5 linked regions of the Nothobranchius furzeri genome follow. The protein of the gene in region 3 binds, or shares a complex with, the protein of the main gene of each other region. Links are inferred from orthologs where the notes say so. Each region holds a gene or a part of one and is shown on either strand. Other genes may lie near its edges.

Region 1 (4,524 bases), on a different chromosome or scaffold from region 3:
TCCGTGGCCGGAGTCGTGGGTTTGGAGGTGGAACAGAACAAGGGACAAATACGTCCATGTTAAAATGTCTCTGAAACACATGAACAAAATATAAATAAACAACAGTAAACACCAACATGGACCTGAGACGGGACACCCCTACAAAAGCGCTGCGCCCTCTGTTGTCCTGGCGGGAAACTGCTTTGCGACTCTCTCCAGGTGACGGAGAGGTCTGAAAGAAAAACGTCGCCATCAAAGCGTGCGCGACTCCTCCTGAGCTGAGACGTTCAAATCTGACCTTTTTCTGCAAACTCAGAGAAATGTTGTAAACAAAGAGGCGGGGCTATGTGTGAATGACATCCTGGTCACATGACCGTCAGGAACAGAGCTGTGTGACTCATTAACCTGAACGGGTTGCTCTGAAAAAGTGTTTTACTCAGGGTACCAGAACCAGCACCCGGCACTACAAACAACGACAACACGCTTCTGCAGAATAAACCCAACAGCTCAACTTTCACCTCGAATCGTTAGCCTCCATTGTTACGAACTGTTGTAAAAACGCACTTTCATCTAATCTGGCTACTCGCTGCATAATCCAAGTGTTGCTGCTTGTTCGGAGAAGGAGATGACCCTTCTGCTGTTTGGGTGAACTCAGACTATCATGCAGAAGCTGCAGGATTCCTGCATCATTAATGAGAGTTAATGGAATTAAATTAGCTTCTAGTGCCTCGTAAAACTGCTAACCAGCTCAGACTGAGATTATGCTGCGGAGCTGATTGGTGGTGATATCAGCGTCGGGTGTTTATAGATGTTCACAGAACCTTTTAGGTGAATCGACTAATAAAACAAAGCTGTGGACTCTCACCTGGCCAGCAAGGCCTGTGGCGTCGGCGTGGGTCCGTTCAGCGTGTACACTCCCAAACTGGAGATCCCACTGGTCCCGACACTTCCCGACAAGCCGGCGTTCCTGTCCGCGTAGCTCAGAGCCAGGCTCTGGGGTCGGGTGCAGTAAAACGGGGTGGAGTGGGCGTCCCGTGGGAGGGCCTGAGCAAACAGCGCCCCGTAGTTCCCAACCTGAGGAGGAGTTGCACAGATTAAGATGAGATTACAACTTTGGCACGGGAGGTGATTAAAAGTGTGCATCTCTCACCCTGCTGGACGGTTTCCGAGGGTCTTCAGAAAGGCTGAGCAGCAGGTAGAGGACGGACCAGCGATGCTTCAGAACACCCTAATGAAGAGCAACACCTGGTCAAAAACTCCACCAAAATAACCAATGTTTACCCGTAAAAACCAGAAAAACTGGATTTTTAATTCTATTTCTCAGATTAGGAGACGAGCTTTAATAATCCCAAAGAGACCGGAGCTTCTCAGGAGGACACAAACCTGCGTCTGAAGTTTTCTGTGCAGCTCTGAGAATAAAGCAGCATCTCCTTCTCTCCTCTGCTTCAGCACTGAAACGGCACAACCAAATGTTAGCTGCTGGGCTTCTGAATAAGTCCCCAATCAAACAGAAAATCCAGGAAAAAATACAAGCCGAGAGCTTTTTACACAGTAGAAAACGTAGTTTTGACTAAACAAGCTCAGGTTTCCTACAAATCTGTCTAAAGTCACAGCTCTGACAAGCCCCACCACATCTATAATCTAAATCTGAGGCTGGATTATGTTTCTGTAGCCGTTTAGCTAAGAGCTCCTGGAATAAACCTCTTCATATGCCAGGACTTGTGTAATTTAACCAGATTAAAATGTGCGACTGCTGCTACCTCAGCTACTTTACAAGGTGCGGTAAGCGTTAACGTGAAAAAGCAAACATTGCTCCACACATACAGACTGGGTTCATCACTGTGGGACTGTAGGAGGTCCAGCAGCACTCACATTCTTTCTTGATCTTCTCTGACACCAAGAACTCGTCCCGTTCGATGGTGGGGGCGTAGTTGCTGCCGATGACCCGCACCGCATACTGGAACTGGTGGGCAACTTCAGCTGCAGGAACAAACGAAGGTCCCAGTCAAGTCAAAGAGATTCAGTTTAAAAACATGCCCTTTGTTGATCACACCTGGTAACTAAAAAGGCAGTAAGACATTAGCTGGTGATTGCAATCGGACATTATTTAGCAGTCTAATCAGTATAGGAAACTCAGATGTGTGTCATTGAAGTCCATGAGTGCATGTTTAGTCCATCTCTAAAACCTAATTCAGCAGATCAGAGCTGCACAAAAATCAGAGAACAGTGTCAGTCCTCTAAACCAGAATCGGTGCATCACCAGGATCTGGGATGTTTAGTTTTCCTGCAGGGGGCTGCAGTTAGCAGGGCATGTGCATCCAAAAGCCCTGCACACGTTGGGTGGATCTGCGGAGCTCCGAGCTCACAGAGCTGAAGGAGCTTCACGAACCCAAACAGAGCGGTGAGTGACGCGAGTGTGCAGCATCTTCCGAGCAGAGGACCGACAGCTGCCATGACAGACCGGGCCCTGCTACGACGTGACATGTTTACCACAGATATCAACAACCAGCGAGCTGCAAAATCAGTCACTTATGTTTTTGTTCCCCCACAAAGCTAGCTAGAATTAAATAGTTTGTGCGCCGTAAATCGGTCGCAAAACTCTCCAGTTTGATGTGTAAAACGTTAAATTACTCCCGAATAGAGGCTGCCAAATAACAAATCTCCTCGCCGAATTCAACGGCAACCGTCAACAATTAGAGTAACATATTATGTTAAGTATAAAAGGTTATTAAAAGAGAAATGTAAAAGAAATGGTAAAAATGCGCTTTCTTGAATGAGGTTAGGTAGGGAGCTTCCTGGATACTTGAGAATGATCGTGGCGCGCTTAAGCTAGCGTTAACTGATGTACCTTCGCTTTTCCCGGTGATCCTGCAGCAGAGGCTCTGCAAAAGGACGTTGGGAGATTTCTGGTCCAGGCTTGCCATGGTGTCTGTGGTCCCAGAGTCACGAGTCGTCCGATAATCTAATAAATGTTGAAGAAGATCATCAACTAACTCCAGTCTCCCGCTATGAAAACGCCATTTTGGCTAACTGGCCTGGCTGCTGCGGAAAACGGATAGGGGCGGGGAAGGAGCGCTCGGGCACACCAACACCATATAAGGAAAAGGCATGTTGCTTCCAGAACTGAAGGGGGCGTTAGTTGTCCATGTTCACGTTTTTCTTCGTTGAAATCTTTATTGATACCGGTCATGAACTAAAATATCGTAGTTTGTTTATTTTAGTTTCCTTCCTCGTTGATTTTTGAACACAAAACAGGAAAATGTTTAACAAAACAAGATAAAGAAACAATATATTTACAACTATCGGTTTTTAAATTTTGATTGAAGGTGCAGTATTTCACAATTAAAAGTGCAAATTAACATAATAAACTGAACAGAATAAGCAACCAAAGGACAGAATATTAACAAAACAGAATGTCCATCATAACAAAACTTAATTAGAAAACGTATTTTTTCGCAAAATTGTCATTTATTGATTTTTATTTTCAGTAGAGTTAGAGAAAAATAATAAAAAATTTGAAATGGCATATTCTTTCAGCGGGAGTGTAAAACAACATGTTTTTTTTAAAGAGAAGCCACAATCTTAAAAGAAAATATTTTCTGTAATGATCTGATGGGAACCAAGACACAGTGACAGTTTAAAAAGTTTAATTTTCAACAGTTATAATTAAAATGTGCTACAGTAGCTGTGTGTCTGAGAAGATGCAGCAGGGTTCAGGAGAAACTGGGTAAACACTGAATGTGCCCCCTCAGGCTGCTGGTCTCCAGTTTATTCTCTCAAATGAATCAGTATGGGTCAATGGAAATATGGGACATGCCCAAAATGACAAAACTATGAGTTTACAGTGTAAAACATGTAATAAATGTATTTTTATGAGAGGCTTTAGGTTGTTTATTCAACCTATTCAGCCGTCCCATTTCTAACCCTACCTTTTCCACTTATTTGATTTGCTTACTAGCTGGACCACAGCCATCCAGCCCTAAACGACTTTAACTGAAAGCACAATAAATAATTGAAGAACACTCGTCTATATTATTAATTATTGGGAACAAAAAGTATTTTTATGTATTTATTTATTTTATTTTACCTTTATTTACCAGATGAGATTGAGAACTCATTCTCATTTTCAAAGACGATGGCCAAGAGGCAGCAGCAACAGTCACTAGTTAGCTTTACGCCAAAGACGAGATAAAAACATACAAGATTAAATAAAATAAAACAGTTACACAGAAAGACAAAGGCATTTCCATTAAGAAACAATTCACCAATGACTTTAAAATGAGCCTCAAATTATTTAAATTGATTGTGAATATTTTTGTTATAGAAACACTTTTTATGGTGCTGATAAATACTCACAAATGATAAAACAGCGGTTTTAACATCCTGTTTTATAAAATCACTAAGTTTTCATGGCTGAGAATGTTTGATCTTATTTAACTTTTTTCCATTTATGATGCAGCTATAATGCCCAATAGAAATGTGATTGAATTGTTTAATTATACGTTCTTCTACTGTGCACTAATCCCGTTAGGAACAAACAAATCG
Region 2 (3,055 bases), on a different chromosome or scaffold from region 3:
TCTGGCTCAGAGGTCTCCAACCCTGGATGAGTTCTCTCAATGCAGCTACAGTCCTCTATGAAGTGCATTGGTGGAAGCACAAGTAGGCCAAGGCTTCGAGTGTGTAGTAAACAAGTAACGCAAACAACTGCAGAATTGGGACGGTGAGCATTATGTCATCAACCTGCACCACTGCGTCGTATCTCAGCGACTTCCTACATGTGGATGCAGGTCGCTGTTTGTGTTATTTTGCTGCTTGAATTGATTTTAAAACTGAATAATATTAAAACAAGTCATTTCATTGCTGGCATGCCGTGTCCACAAACACTCACCATCACCATTATTAGTTCATATTTTTCAACAAACATGTAACGCATGTTTGCAACAGAGAAACTTTAGATCACACATGTACACAACAATAACATCTTCTAAAAGGGCACATGAGCCATTTCTCCGCCTCTAAATTCCCCAAGGCTGATTTTTTTTCCCTCTTTTATTTTCCTTCATGACCTTAATATAAAAAACAAGTGAACCTTTGCTCTCTTTGCCCTGGTAGTCCACAGTTAGATGCAGCAGAGGCAGCAGGTTGTCGTCGTCCAGCAGCACCTTATGAGCAGCCTGCTGGAACGCCACGTTCACGTCTGGAAGGAGAAAACAGTCTCAGCACATGAAATCCATGACTGCTGCTAGTAGTGAACACAAATTCAGACACTTTTCATCAACAGAAACCAGCAGATGGTGGAAGCCCAGGTGTACAATGACTTTTTGGTCACAACCCACTAGAGCTAAATCAGAAGGTGAGGGCGACTCTGTGCTTCTGTTGTCTCTTATTAGCTGTAAGGTGACCCAAGCGGCTTAAACAGGCAAACATCTCGGTCTCTGCACAGACTAAAAAAAACTGGGTCAGCCACACAAAACAAGGCCAAAACCTCCTCTAAATGAATTAGAATTTTCTAAAGAGAATTGAAAACAAGTCAACTAAATGGTTTGTTTCACAGAATATTCTGGAGTGAGTGAAGGAGGGAGCAGGAGATCAGGGCACACGTCTGCAGTGGTGTGGATGCTGAACTGGTCAGTTGAGGTGAAGAAAGCGTTAAGCCAGACAGTGAAGGTGATCTTCATCTCGATCCTGACTTTTGGCCATTAGCGCTGAGTAATGCCAGAAACAAGATCATGAACACAAGCGGCTATAAGGAGTTTCCTTAGCAGGGAGGTTGGGCTCAGCCGTTGAGAGGGAGGAGCAAACAGCGGAGCCGCTGCTCCTCCGTGTTAATAGGAGCCAGCTGAGGCGGTTCAGGCATTTGGTCTGGATGCAGGGTCTGTTTAGAAAAAAATGCACACTCTGTTTATAAGTTGCTGCCGGCCTTGCAGCGCTTCTTCTAGCAGTAATCTGAAATTAATTCCTCCAAACAGCACGCCGAACTTCAGCTTACCCGTCGAGCAGAAAACCAGCAACAGAGGTGTCTGGGGGGAGGCCAACCTTCGCTTTAAGCGTACGCCATCGTTGGAAAGAGTCTCCTAAAAAAAGATTCTGATCTTATTTCTAGGGCCCGACTTCAGAGACACTTCTCCTCTTGCGACTCTCGGCCATTTTCAAAAGAACCCGGTGAGAACGACGAGGAATAAAAGCGGATCACTCTGCACATAGACAGAATGCGCAGGAAGTGAAAACTACCCAGCACCAAGAACGCACGACGACAGCCTTTCGTGAAAGCGTCAAAAAAATGATTGACAGTCTAAACAAACAACCGACTACACGTTTATTTGTGAAACATTTACAGGTACACCAGTTTAGGAGGTCAAAAACAGCTCTTCATCTACAGGGTCTGAGTCTTCCTCTGTAAAACGATGAACCCGATTATGATCTGATGAAGAGGAGGAGACCCCTCTGGCATCTAACCACCACTGTCTGAACTCCTTCCTCAGAGAAAACACCCAAATGAGAGGAACTGGTTGTCTCAAGAAAGTTTGCTATGGATCATAATTCTGTAAAATATTTCATGTATACAGAATGCATATGATATGATTTAACACCAGGTAAAATAAAAACACCCAGAGGTGAGTGAGATCTGTGCAGACATGTTTACCGTGCTCGGTGACTGCTGTTGGAGGAGTCTTCAACATGTGCTGAGCAAGGTCAATGAACACCTGATAGAGCTCGCCACGACCCAGCAGGTAGAAATCCTTAACGATCTGGAGGAGATCACAAACATCGTCAGCACAGCGCATATCCGAGTTCAACAAACAATTACGAAATGAAAAACCTTGAGCTGTTCCAGCAGATTTGCCTCCTCCACCATCAACGTCCACAGGTGCTGCAGATCAAAACAATAGGACCAGGGTTACGTTTTACAGCGCCGTCCCCGCCAACTTGTGTTTTTATTTAACCGAGTAAAGTAATGCAGCGATGCTGGTGCTCACCTCTGCCACTGTGCTCCTGATTCGATCGATTAAATTCTCAAAGTCCACCAGGCTGAACAGCGGCTGCTGTTTGAGTCTGTGTAGCTCAGCAGCAAAAAGGTCCTCCTGGTGCTTTAATATGGAGCCTAAAACAAAAGGACAAAGATGTGTTTGAGGGTCACTAATAAGCGGGCGCTAGACTCCACATATATATGAAGTACCGGCTCTGGACGGGCTGTGGTTGTGATTTTCAAACATTTGAACAGATTCTCCAACAAACAGGATCTTCTCAGCCACCCTGATGGGGATATAAGATGGCAGCATCTCTGTTCGCAGAGAGAACTGCTGGAGTGATGGAGCCAGCATGTTCTCCTCCTCGATCAGCCTCTGAAGACATTAGAGTAAACGCTGTTAGACAGACCCTATCCACGGACTGATGAAGGACTTTAACCGGCCTCACCAGGTCCTGTAATTCTCTGAGCTGCTTGCCACTTAAACCTCCCAGACCCAGGTCCTCCTCCTCCTCGTCCTGGCTGGCAGCAGCACCTCCTGCACTGGGACCCTGCTTTATGAAGAACTCCTCACTTTGATCCAGCAGCAATCCGTGAAGCATCCATGCTGCTAACTGCTTGTACATCACACCATGACACGCAGCCAGAATCCTGCAAAATGCAGA
Region 3 (4,665 bases):
ATGCTGTTCACAGGCGCTGCCTAGCTGTCTGTTTGGGGCTGGAGTATGAGCACCAGGCTTCCATTCAGATCTTCTCTACAGCAGCCATGTTGTGAGGCTGTCTCTGGAAAACACAGACTTCCAACCTCCTCCATAGGTTCTCTGTTGGGATGAGGTCTGAAGACTGACTAGGCCACTCCAGAACCTGGAAATGCTTTTTACATAGCCACTCCTTCGTTGTCTGGTCGGTGTGTTTGGGAACATTGTCATGCTGGAAGATCCAGCCTAGTTTCATCTGCATTGCTCTTAATGATGGAAGATTTATCCCCCAAATCTCATGATACACGGCCCCATTTTCCTGAATACAGATCAGTCCTGTCCCCTTTGCAGAAAATCAGCCTCAAAATATAATTTTTCCCCCTGACTCACAGAGGTAATGGTGTTCTTGGAATGCAACTCAGCATTCTTCCTCCTCCAAACACAGCAAGTTCCAAACAGTTCTGTTTTGCTCCCATCTGAATTTCCTGATCCTTCTCTGGATCATCCCGGTGGTCTCTGGCTGGCACACTTCAGACGGACTGGGGCCTCATTCATCAAGCTAGCTTACGCACAAAATGGGGTTGGAAAACAGCGTAAGCAACTTTCCACGCAAACTTTGGGATTTATGAAAGAAAACTTGGCTGAAAAACGTGCACAACTTTAAGATGACTAAGGACCTGGCTTACACACATGCTGGACATGGAGAGCACCTGCAGTGCTGCTGCTGAGAAGGATAAACTGATGAAATCCTGCAGCATTATCACTTGTACTGCTTCATTTTCACACAGAACAAGACCCCCCCCCCCCCCCCCACACACACACACACACACACACACACAGCCTGAAGCGCAGAATACAGAATATCAGCAGGGGGACAGATTGAGACAGAACATCATGCGTGTGTGACAGTGTGTGTCCTGTCACTGTGACCCGATCGATCATGCGCCCTGGCTACTTGTACAGGGGAGATCTCTGTTTGGGTGACTGGTTAGTGCGCGTGACTTTCATCCAGGAGTCTGGGGATCGAATCCCGATCGTATCATTTTTTTTATACCCGCCACAGATCTCTCTGAAGAAGTCAGCATTGACGGCTTCAGCAACGCTGTGCCACTCTGTGGATTTTCTCTTATTTGTTTTGCAAAAGCACTTCCTTTCATTTCTCCACCTCACCCACAGGTACCTCAACTTCTGCTTCTGTGAAATAGCGCTTCCTTGATCTGCCTTGATCTACGGTCGCCATGTCATTGGCGGAGCGCTGCAACAGCCGGCTTATGTATATGCATGAGATCCACAAGGCACTTTGCATTGACCATTTATGGCAATAGGTGGGCGTGGTGAGGGCAGGATGTGACTAAAATGCAGCTGAGAAACATTCTCATAAGTCTCAGATTTATGAAGTGGAGGTTGCGTGCAGCTGTGAGTCCTCCATGTTTGATAGATCACACACCTGCTTGGCGTAAGTACATATTTTTGCTGAGCTTAAGTACGGTTTTAGTAAGGATTCTGCGCCATGTTTGATAAATGAGACCCCTGGACATGTGCTGTTCTGAGCAGGGGGACTTAAGAGCATTACGGAATTTTAATTCATGTCAATGTAGTGTGTTAGTAATAGTAACCTTTGTCACTGTGGTCTCAGCTCTCTTCAGGTCATTAACCACCCCCTAGTGTAGTTCTGGGCTGTTTCACCATTCTCTCAAGATCATTAGTACCCCATGAAGTAAGAGCTTGATGCCAATTGTAGATTGGCTCATCGAGTCTTTTGCAGGTGTACAGTCTTGTCCCTGGTGTCCTTAGACAGCTCTAAGGTCTTGGCCATGGTGGAGGTATAAGTCTGATGGTTTTAAGGTGTGGACAGGTGTCTTTTATACAGACAACAAGCTAAAAAATTATGTATATATATTAGGACTGGACGATATAGAAAAAATTCCAATCAATAAAAAAATCTTATTGATTGATATCAATAATTATTGAAAATTATATGAAAAACCATAGAAAATATGGGCTAATTCTAATAACCAGCTTTTTTTCGGATGCATTTCTGAATTAAACAAGAATTGACTTCTTTCCTGTTTGAATACAGATCAATTTGAGATGAGTGTTTTGTGATTCAGCCAAACGAGTACAGCTACAGAATATTAAAACAACATATTGCATTAAACACAATCAACAAAAAACTGTGCAAGATACAAAAATGTTAAATCAGGTGGATCTACCTGTAGTAGTCATCTTAGTAAAACAACATAATGAAACTATTCCAAACGAAGATGCTTTACAGCCACTGGCAGTAAATTACAATGAACCAGAACCAAAGACTGTTTATGCTGTTGTTTATTATAAAGTCAACAAATCGAACCAAAAAGGCCCTATTATTCAGACTTTATCAGCTATGTTTAGCATCTCATATATATATATATATATATATATATATATATATATATATATATATATATATTCACCAACAGGCTTGTATTGATCTGTAAAGTGGCTTTTAAGAGCTTCACCTGTCCAGATCACATCCGTCCATTAGACTCACATTTCCCTAAAATAAATCAAATGAAACATAATACAACCGGAAGGAAACAAGAGCAGCAAAACGCACTCACCCACTTATACTGCGTTGAACTTTATGACTGTCGACGTCCAAATAACGATGAAATCTGACAGAGGAAATTAAAGCAGGCGGTAAACAGCAGCCCTTCTTTGAGTTAGCTACACTTTTGTTAGCAGCTAACAACATGCTTGCTTCCGGTGGCTAACTTACTTGAAATTTGACCACGTAAATTTCAGCGCAGACTGGAAATTTTGGTCCTCCTCATCTTCAATCTTGCTGATAGATCTGATTAACTTCTTGGTTTCTTTCTCCGTCTCCTTTTCAAAGGTGCTCCAGTGTGCCATGGTGTTCCAGCTGCTGGTTGTGCTACAAGAATTAGCCCCAAGCGTTAGCCTGCATGGAACCGCCTGGCTCACTCTTGCAAACTATTGGATAACTTTTCAAAATATAAGACTTGAAGAACAACGTTGAAATCGTTATTGCAAATGTACAAAAACTGAGGCGCTACATTGACTGTTAGGTCCATTGATTCCTCCACTACCGCGTCATCGAAACATACAATGGTGCGCATGCGTACCACTGAAAAAAAGTCAACGCTTTATTTCCTTCTTGTTCGTTGAAATGTTATGTTGTATGGAAGGCTGTTGTATCATATAAAAAAGCACGCACCCGTTTACATTTTTCGAGTATCAAAATTTGCATTTCTGCTGGTCAAATACATCCCTTCTTCTTAAATCAAACAATATTAAACTCATAATTTGTATTTCAAAATCATTCATTGGTTTGTTTGATTGATTAACCCCATGCTTATAGCCACGCCCACCATCTCATCTTAATTAATCCCTTTTCAGAATCAGAACGAGAAGGGTTTATTGCCATATGTGTGAGAGATCACATTAGTAAATTATTGGTCCAGCCATCCCCCGTATGTCTTAAATGACTGCATTGGTTATAACACGTTCTTAAATCAAGAATAGCATATTTCAAAAGGTATAAATTGCAATAAATGATAATTTACTGATTAAACTATAAAAGCAATTATTCTTAAAGTTTGTCCTCTGAAACTGATCAATATTTAATTGGTTTAAACACATTCCAGGGGTCTTCATTAAAGATGAATGCAGGTCCATCCACCTACAATGTGAATAAAGAAAAAAGAGGAATCAGAATATAATTACAAAATCCCTTTAATCGTTTTAAATTAAGCTGAAAAAAGATTTTTGTAATTTACTGTAAATAAAAGTATAAAAAATATCATTTCAATACATCAACGACACCAAAAAATGGTTCTCTCTTTTTCACAGAATCCCAAAAATAAGCCCTAAGGAAATAATCCAAATGAGACCCTGTGTCCACATATGTGACATTGACTTCTTCTTGCATTATATTTCATTCTCTTCAACTTAGACCTTTTTAAAAGATATGATTTAGAGACACTTGATTTTGATTAAGTTTTAAAAATGTTTCTTTTTCTTTCTTTTTTCACACCAAATACAAATTCAGGCCTTGGGAGGTTGAAGTCAGAATTCTGACCTTTTTTATCAAATAAAAGGCAGACTTTTTTATACCTTCCATAAATATCGACTAAAAGAGATTTGTTGTCACTTAAAATATTTTTTTCTATTAGTAGGTTCAAAAAATAATTTGCTGGAAGAATAATGTTTCTTTAAATGAAATGTTGATATTTGTGGAAAATGTGAAGAATATTTAAAAAAGTATTACTGATACTTTTAGTGTCAGTATCTATGGAAATTTAATGAAGCTTTTCAATTAAATAAAACAAAAAAAGTTTAAACTTACATTTCTAAAATTGTAACTCTAATTAAAACATCATAAATTTTAAAGCCAAAGTTATAAAAGCCATTGTTGGAGGCCCAACGCAACGAGCCACATGTGGCTCCAGAGCAGCAATTGCAGCCCCCCTGGTATAAATGATAAACGAGCTTTCCATACAGAATGTTCAACACACGCTATCGGATTTGGAACGCTCCTCCTCCGTTTCTGTAGCAACAACACGAAGACGAAGAGAAACGTCTGGTCGTAACCGATGGTCGTAACGAGTCTGCAACAATTATTACAAGGTCTGCGGGAAAATG
Region 4 (3,500 bases), on a different chromosome or scaffold from region 3:
ATTTTTCTTCTTTGTCTGGGAGATGAATAGTTTTGTTACAGACTGCAGAGAAACAAAATAATGCTGCCTGGTTAGACGTATGATCAAGCCCCCGTTCCCCACAAGTAGATCAAAGATGTGTTTTTGTCAAGTCTTGCACTATATCTCAAAATGTTGTGGAACAAATTCAGACACATCAGAAAAAAGACTTTAGATCAACAGGACATCCTACTGTTAAGTGACCTTTGCTCAGATCTCCTTTGTTGTGAAGTATTGTTAGCTGTGTTTATTCAACAATTGGCTGTTTATTATAAAGTGTACCATTCTGCTCATTATTTCACCTAGTCTGACAGGAAAGATCGTGTCCTTTTAGCAAATCACTACTTTTTATTAACTTTGCAGTCTAAACACCCACAACACACATTTTATCAAACTATACATTTCTTTATTAGATAAACTTTTCTCAGGAAAACTGGAAAGTTATAACTGCTTGATTTATTCAGACAACACCTGTTAACTTCATTGAATAGAAACACACACCACCACCTAGTGGCCACCTTTGACAAGTTTATTTTAGACAAATTAGTGAAACAACAAAAACCCAGTTTCATAAGTAAAATTAAATATTATTTAAAAAACTCAATTAAATGACTAACTATATACACAAGAAAAACCATAGAAGTTGGACAAAAGGGAATAGAAAATTAAATTTCTCCTTTTAAAAATTATTACTACAGCAAGATATCATTGCTGACTAAGCATCGCACCGCATCCAAAAGCATGTCAGGAGTATGGCTAAATATGAAATTGGATGGACTGAGCATACATCACTTTAAGCATGTGACTTATGTTCAAAATAAGACAGATGGTGCTATTTTTACAGAGAGCCCCGAACACAGGCCAAAGATGTATTAAGTACAGAACAGGACAGCGCAGAAGTCACAGAAAAAAAAGTGCCAAAACAGATCAGAGCATGATCCCGATGAGTGTTTCAAACATTTGAGGTCTGTCTTCTGTCTTCAGTTTGTGCAGTTCTCAGAAGCCTGAAAGAATAACAATAAATATAGTTGTCCATCAATTAACAAGTTGACATTTTTAGCAAGTCTGCAAATGAATGTGTTCTTGGGAAACACTGAAGATGCTCCAAGCTCCAAACAGAACTCTAGCAACTTGCATAATAATAATATGCATAATAATTGTGTACCTTGAAAGACTCTGAAGCTCTCCGCAGCTCTTTGATGACTGCAGACAAGGCTTCAGGATTGATCCCTTGCTCACATAGTCTCACACATATGGACAGAGACTCCATGTCCAAACCAGTGTTCAACAACCTGGAGATCTCAAGCAAGACTGTTAAACGAGAACAATAATGAAACATGTTATTGCTGTGACAAGGTTAGAAGTTAGCTACAAAGCATGTGCGCTTTTACGTTTGTGAAGGTATTTTAAAACTACATGTTCTGCCACTTACGTGCCAAATAAACACTCACCATCCATTGTCTCCCGGACTGCGTTTAGGTTTGCATTTGCTGCACTTGCCATGGTGATAAAACGATGGTTAGCTAACGCTTCCTAGCAAGAGAAGTGGCTAACCAACAGCGTGTCTCTGACGTCACGAGTTAACAATAACTTGATTATAATAATAATGGCTAACGTATTTATATGTCACAGAACCCGATCATTAGAAACGGGCAAACAACATGTAAGCCACATTAGCACATATCTAACAACCTCACCAAAATTCTCACGTCGGTCAAAACTGGCAGCGGAAATAACGTTAAAATCGTCACTTCCTGCAACGTTTCTATTGGCTTGCGGGCCTAGGAGGAGAAATTGAAATTGATGTTTGAATTGTTTCTGTTTGTATGTTTTTCCCCGACCTGTTCCACATATTTCGATCAGAATTATTCGTGCATCTTCAAAGTTGTAAGTACAAATGGCGAGTGGACCGCTTCCTTTCTTTTAGCTAACGTACCGAACTTAACATCACATGAACGACAACAACTGTTGACTTGATCGATTTTCGCCTCGTTAATTCTGCATTTGAAGTGTTTTCTTTTTTATCTCGACTTTAGGCTAGATGGGGGACCACATTCAGCTCCAGATCACACCAGAAACTCCAGGCAGGTCTTCCATAAGGAACCCCTTCGAGAGTCCTAACGACTACCACCATCTGCGGGAACCCCTGGTTCCGAGTCCCTCTGTCTTCAAGTCAAAGACGTGCAAGGCTGTAAGTCTGAACACAAAACAGATCCACATTTATCAGGATGTCTGTGAAAAAATTTGAAATGTTCGTTAATTCTTCATAGTAGGCGTCCAAATGGAAAAAATAAGCAAACCTGTAACCTTTTACAATGGTTGTGATCAATCATTTGGAAGATGATCAACTTATTGTTGGGGTTATAATACAATTTTTATTATTTATTATAACTTATACAAAGTTAGGGGTGATTTTTTTTCATAGAAATTTTCGTAATCCTGAACATTTAACTTTACATAGACTTCATGTATTTCCTGTCTCTTCCGCAGACTCCCTCTAAGTTTAACTGGTCTATTGATGAAATGGCCAGTCTTCTCCCAGTGCACATAGACCCAGAGGAAATCCAGCGACAATCTCTCTACCTCAGCCAGACAAGGTGTGTGTTTGAAACTAAAATTCCTAAAGGAAGCACCGTTGACTGATGCAACTCAATCCATCGCACAATGACAGGGAAAAAGAAAGACTTTCAGAAATTAATTAATAAAACTCGGCTCTTCTTTATTTCAGGATTGATTCTGACATTGAGGAAAAATGTCAGAGTGCTATTGAGCAGGTATTGAATTAATCTAACTTATTCTGGTTTTGTAAACATAAATAAGCTTTTATTTTGATTATGTGTTGCTTGATTTCTTCCAATAAAGTTTTTCACAAAAGGAGCCATTGTGCCTTCCCCCTGGGCAGCACCGGAAACCCGCAGAGCCCCTCACCTGTACAATAAAAGTGTGTTATTTTATTGTTTATATTACTGTTTAAGTCTTAAATTTAGATTTACCTGGACTTTGCACATTTTAATCCGTGCTGGTTTATTTTATTCTGCTTTTGTCTTTTGACATTTAGGCCCAGGGTCTGCAACAATTTCAGAGGCGACAAAAACAGTCTCGGGTTGGTGTTCTTTTTTATAGAAGTGGATGATCTTTCTTCTTATGAACACAAGCCTGTACATGTTTGTCACAAAAATATACTGTTACATATTTATGTACACATTGATTCTCGAAACCAAAGATTCCTCAATATTTATTTTATCTGGTTTCCAGTTGCTTGCCAGACGGCCCTGTCTCTACCTTTGGGGTTCGATTTGGAGAAATTACTTGGTGAGCTTCTGCTGAATGTCAGCAAAATCTGATTTTCCTCTGGCTGAATATTTTCATCACTGCCTTTGTACTTTTCAGGAGAACATTACCGTTACGAGGAAGCGGGTGACGCAGTCCAGGAGAGCCTCAGTTCCTCCTCCTTGAGACGAAAACTCTTCCTTGATGGCCAT
Region 5 (3,930 bases), about 790 kb from region 3:
GTGTGTGTGTGTGTGTGTGTGTGTGTGCGCGTGTGTGTGTGTGTGTGTGTGTGTGTGTGTGTGTGTGTGTGTGTGTGAATAAAAGCTGTGTCGTACCCTAGAAAGTGGTGTATAAATACAGGCCATTAACCATTTGTTACAACAGACTGAAATGAAGGGATTTTATTCCACCTAATGGACCCTAACCCTTTCACAGTAACACTGAGCAGCTTGTTAGTTCTACAGCATCGATCTGTGGGAAGCATGAAGAGTCGCTGTTAAAGCGCTAGAGTTTACAGACCTTACTCATTTCATGTGAAACAAACACAGAAAAATAATAATCACCATTCCAAGAGCTGAGATCTCAAATCCAGCTGCAGATATGGAGTTAAGAATCTTCCCAGTCAGCCCTGTGAACACATGATGCTCATCAGTCTTTATGAGCCGAGTTTACACAGAAGGACAAACACGGTATTTTAGTGCTGCAGCAATCTCAGATGTCGTCCAGATCAAATAACACCTGAATCCACTGCTGCAGTGAAGCATCTGACTATCGTGAAGTCCGGATGCATCACTACTGAACGTGCTTCTGCTCAGACATCAGCGGTACATCTCAGTGCACTGACCTCAGTCTGTCCTCTGGACAGAGTGAGATAGTCTCGCTGATGTGTTGTCTATCGAGGGAAAGCATTTTTGTCCAGGCAACCTTTTAGGAAACGAGATAGTGAACTGTACATCCCATCAAAGAGCTGGGTCTTTGCTGTAGAAGTGGTGCAGCTGCAGTGACTCTGAAGGTCAGACTGCTGCAGACACACAATTGAATCAAGGCGCCAGTCTCGTAATCTCAGTCTGATAAAAAGTAGCTTGTGTACCTGTCACCCAGGACGGTTTTCATTAACTCTAAATGCTGCAGCGCAGACGTTCAATAGGAACCAGGCGTAGCCGCCGTCTGTGGATCTCTCCCTCCCTACGTCACAGTCCAGTTATGTGCACTAGGTAATAGCCTGAGTCCTTTGTGCCCTCCCCAGGACTGCACAGGTTCCACACACTCCTCGCAGCGCCACAAAGCAGCTGCTGCTGTTGCTAGGAGATACTATTCCAGGAGCCTGGCAACAGAAGCTTCTCTATTCCGGTCATGTCTGAGTGAATTTTCACTCACAGCGTCCTTCATGGCCACGGTGACAGGCCGTCTTGACGACATAAATGAGCTACTGAAGAGATTTCTGAGGGGAGATCAGAGCAGAGCTTTTTGTCGACCTCAGCTGGACAAATCATTCAGCCTGGTTTCTATTCTTGGCTCGGACCAAATATATCACGGCTCTGAAGGTAAACAGTGTGGGAGTCACTTCTAGCAGTGAAACTGACGCCTGAGTAGGAGCTTTGAAGTTTTAACAATGCCACACTTTCTGAGAGATAACTGATTCGTTTTAACTGAACTGTTTTAAGAAGCGCCAAACTTCTTGTAGCACATCAAACACATCAGCTTAAGCGAGACATTGTTTAAGATATGTTCTGCTACGGATCAGCGTTCATGGTTCCATCATTTACAGGAAGTGGCCCAGGTCCTGCAGCAGCAAAACTGCCCCAGACCATCATACCACCATCACCATGCTTCACTGTTGGAATGAGGATACTTCACTGAAATGAAGTGTTAGTTTTACACTAAATGTAATGTGAGATGAGTCTTATGGATTATTACGGTCAGTAGAACCTCTCTGTCGCCATGGTTGATTCATGACCTCTGACCTTAATGAGGTCTGCAGTGCTTTGGTGATGTTGGGTTCTTTAGACCAGAGCATGGAGATCTTTTAGCCTACTTCATGTTGTTGGACAGGTTCTGTTGAAGTTAGTGGCAGTAAGCAGGCCTGGGTGTGGCTGGTGAAACTCACCCCAGCTCTACAAATATGTTTAATCACAAATAAATCAGGACGTAACATGGGGAGCAATTATTGTTCCACATAAAACTACTTTTTTTAAATTTATTTGGACCCCCTAATGAAGGAAACCTTCATTTGAAAACGCCGGGGTTTGATAAAAAGTTTATATACGAGCACAGAGCACTATCACTGTGACCTGTCAGGAATGATTAACACAGCCAACAACCACCGGTATTCACTGAGCAAATGTTGAAATCCATGCGTTCGGACCGAGCTGGTTTATCACCGCGGCTCGTTGCAAGCTTAACTGTTGCTCAACGGTGCCTTGCAGACAAACAAAGCATGCCCACTTGTATTCTCTCTCACCGCCTCCTTTCTCAAGCCAAAGATTTGAACGTGCCCTAGCAGGCTAAGCGTGGCTGTAACTGCAGAAATAACAAAAGTGGGCGATCTGTTCTGTTTAGGTGCAGCATGAAGGCAGGCCAGAGAGCAGCGGTGCACAGATACACCATGGCTTTATTATCGCCCAGAGGCAGTGGACGGAAATAAGCCTTGCTTTCACAAAACCTTTATAATGAATCATTTTGTCGGTTTTTTTTTCTGACTTTTCTGACTCTGGGGAATACAGCAATAAACTCAATTTCACTTAGGGGTGGAAAATCCCTTTAAGTTTATTTCAGGGACCATTGAGAGCGTTTCCATCGTAAATGCAAGGGTACATGAATTTATACATGTATGTGCAATATAATGTCACGCTGGCTCAAACTGAAACATAAAGACAGTCAGATACCAGAGAAATGATGAAACTCAAGATACAACAAGATATTAGTGGATCTGTAGTTATTACTGTATGTTCTCTGCTGTAAGTGCAGAACAAAAGCTGGGGTCCACCTCCAGTCAACAGCTTTCTGTGTGCAAACATCAGCTCTGCACAGAATTTCACATTTCACAGCTCAGAGCTCTGGTGGCATGCCCCGGGAGCAGGGATCAGCACTGGGATTTGGAAAAATCCAAGGCCATTTTGGAAACCACATGGTGGCTTTGTTGGGGAGGGGGGGGGGAAACAAGCCAGCAGCACAGGAACTCAAAATAACAAAATACAAATAAAAGTGAGATATTTTGCCATGCCTGAGTGACTCCTTACCTGCTGATACAGCGTGGGGTTTGATGATACAACAAGTGCAGTCTGTGAACAGGGCTGTGTTGGAGGGGCCATGGCCGACCGTGGAAGGAAAAAAGAATTCCAGCTCCTTACAAAAACAAACACACAAACTTTAATGATCATGACCGTTCCAGGAAGTGCGATTCTCAGACTACTGAAGGCACAAGAGAGCGAGAACAAAGTCAAAATCCTCACTCTTGCTGCTACAGCTATGGAGTCAGAGCCATGGGCCACATTTTTGATGGCGTCTGTTCCAAACTGTGCACGGATGCTCTGTGGCGCCTCTGTTAACGCCACAGCAGAGTCTGCAGGTCCCAGGAGCTCCCTCCAGATCGACAGGGCCTTGTCACCCACCAGCTCCATGGCAACCACTGGCCCAGAGGACATGAAGTGCACCAGCGCACTGCAAAACAGAGTCACGTTGGAGCTGATTTGAATTTAAAAAACTCTAAAATGTCACCATCACAGGTTGTGGTCGGAGTGCTAGATGGCAATCACAACCCTTCTCTGCTCAGAACTGGGAGATCATTTACACGAGCACTCACCTGAAGAAAGGCTTTGACTGATGTTCCACGTAAAAGTCTTCCGCTTGGCTCCTGTAAAGCAACAAAACCATCCACCAAAGTCAATGGGTGACCAAATGATGCAGCACTTCTCACATGTCTGTTGGCCAGATGACTGTTATTAACAGAGTTTAGTGATAGCGGTGATTTGCTTTGGAAAAAACAATAACAGCAGAAAAAAGAACATTTTAGTAATAACTCAAAAGTATTTTCCAGAGCGCCGTTCACAGACAAGATTAGCACAAAGCGCTGCACAACTGGACGGGACATTGTGTATCCAAATAAAGCTGAAATTATAAAAAAGGGAAAAATATACATCACAGTCAGATCCATCGTGATCAGGGAGAAC

The links.
Region 1: tubgcp5 (region 3) and tubgcp3 share a complex: the UniProt entries of both Homo sapiens proteins name them as parts of the gamma-tubulin ring complex. The link is inferred for Nothobranchius furzeri from reciprocal best matches to the Homo sapiens genes TUBGCP5 and TUBGCP3.
Region 2: the proteins of tubgcp5 (region 3) and tubgcp4 are in contact, whole or in part, in a cryo-EM structure (PDB 9I8M), measured with the Xenopus laevis proteins. The link is inferred for Nothobranchius furzeri from reciprocal best matches to the Homo sapiens genes TUBGCP5 and TUBGCP4. Residues at the interface, in XP_018102626.1 of Xenopus laevis: His233, Leu234, His235, Leu238, Ile241, Trp242, His245, His300, Met301, Thr302, Asn304, Cys305, Ser308, Val309, Gln312, Ala392, Ile393, Leu395, Asp396, Lys397, Arg410, Leu441, Asp442, Tyr443, Asp444, Asn445, Val446, Gly447, Glu448, Ala449; in XP_018110859.1 of Xenopus laevis: Met1, Ile2, His3, Glu4, Leu7, Tyr12, Pro13, Gly14, Ser15, Ile16, Gln29, Pro32, Phe33, Glu60, Thr63, Gly64, Ile84, Arg87, Ala88, Arg91, Arg101, Leu105, Gln109, Leu112, Pro115, His116, Leu117, Val178, Gly181, Val182.
Region 4: the proteins of tubgcp5 (region 3) and mzt1 are in contact, whole or in part, in a crystal structure (PDB 6L81), measured with the Homo sapiens proteins. The link is inferred for Nothobranchius furzeri from reciprocal best matches to the Homo sapiens genes TUBGCP5 and MZT1. Residues at the interface, in NP_443135.3 of Homo sapiens: Gln14, Gln15, Asp18, Val19, Glu21, Leu22, Val23, Val26, Ala27, Gly28, Asn36, Ala40, Phe43, Ala44, Asn47, Phe48, Arg52, Phe53, Leu54, Phe72, Lys80, Ser83, Trp84, Leu87, Thr88, Glu90, Phe91, Ala106, Ser109, Ile110; in NP_001065243.1 of Homo sapiens: Glu23, Val27, Leu28, Glu30, Ile31, Ser32, Ile34, Leu35, Asn36, Thr37, Leu39, Leu44, Ile46, Cys47, Val48, Arg49, Leu50, Cys51, Glu52, Gln53, Ile55, Asn56, Pro57, Glu58, Ala59, Leu60, Ser61, Ser62, Val63, Ile64.
Region 5: tubgcp5 (region 3) and nme7 share a complex: the UniProt entries of both Homo sapiens proteins name them as parts of the gamma-tubulin ring complex. The link is inferred for Nothobranchius furzeri from reciprocal best matches to the Homo sapiens genes TUBGCP5 and NME7.

The regions. Positions count from the first base shown.
Region 1 is NC_091754.1:48,776,660-48,781,183, reverse strand, and holds the start of tubgcp3 (gamma-tubulin complex component 3), read right to left. Parts: upstream 3,026-4,524; 5' UTR 2,904-3,025; coding exon 2,828-2,903; intron 1,960-2,827; coding exon 1,852-1,959; intron 1,431-1,851; coding exon 1,363-1,430; intron 1,208-1,362; coding exon 1,130-1,207; intron 1,054-1,129; coding exon 845-1,053; intron 1-844. UniProt on the Homo sapiens protein: Component of the gamma-tubulin ring complex (gTuRC) which mediates microtubule nucleation.
Region 2 is NC_091749.1:30,388,135-30,391,189, reverse strand, and holds part of tubgcp4 (gamma-tubulin complex component 4), read right to left. Parts: intron 3,042-3,055; coding exon 2,840-3,041; intron 2,767-2,839; coding exon 2,601-2,766; intron 2,526-2,600; coding exon 2,401-2,525; intron 2,295-2,400; coding exon 2,244-2,294; intron 2,173-2,243; coding exon 2,067-2,172; intron 621-2,066; coding exon 513-620; intron 1-512. UniProt on the Homo sapiens protein: Component of the gamma-tubulin ring complex (gTuRC) which mediates microtubule nucleation.
Region 3 is NC_091756.1:62,472,444-62,477,108, forward strand, and holds the start of tubgcp5 (gamma-tubulin complex component 5), read right to left. Parts: upstream 3,112-4,665; 5' UTR 2,914-3,111; coding exon 2,780-2,913; intron 2,676-2,779; coding exon 2,622-2,675; intron 1-2,621. UniProt on the Homo sapiens protein: Component of the gamma-tubulin ring complex (gTuRC) which mediates microtubule nucleation.
Region 4 is NC_091752.1:31,536,076-31,539,575, forward strand, and holds mzt1 (mitotic-spindle organizing protein 1), read right to left. Parts: upstream 1,759-3,500; 5' UTR 1,522-1,758; coding exon 1,470-1,521; intron 1,330-1,469; coding exon 1,184-1,329; intron 1,023-1,183; coding exon 999-1,022; 3' UTR 534-998; downstream 1-533. Other genes in the region: bora (protein aurora borealis), read left to right, coding at 2,060-2,209, 2,509-2,615, 2,747-2,792, 2,881-2,959, 3,077-3,121, 3,274-3,330, 3,409-3,500. UniProt on the Homo sapiens protein: Required for the recruitment and the assembly of the gamma-tubulin ring complex (gTuRC) at the centrosome.
Region 5 is NC_091756.1:61,686,840-61,690,769, forward strand, and holds part of nme7 (nucleoside diphosphate kinase homolog 7), read right to left. Parts: intron 3,615-3,930; coding exon 3,564-3,614; intron 3,422-3,563; coding exon 3,214-3,421; intron 3,107-3,213; coding exon 3,001-3,106; intron 390-3,000; coding exon 325-389; intron 1-324. UniProt on the Homo sapiens protein: Possesses an intrinsic kinase activity. Displays 3'-5' exonuclease activity with a preference for single-stranded DNA. Does not seem to have nucleoside diphosphate kinase activity.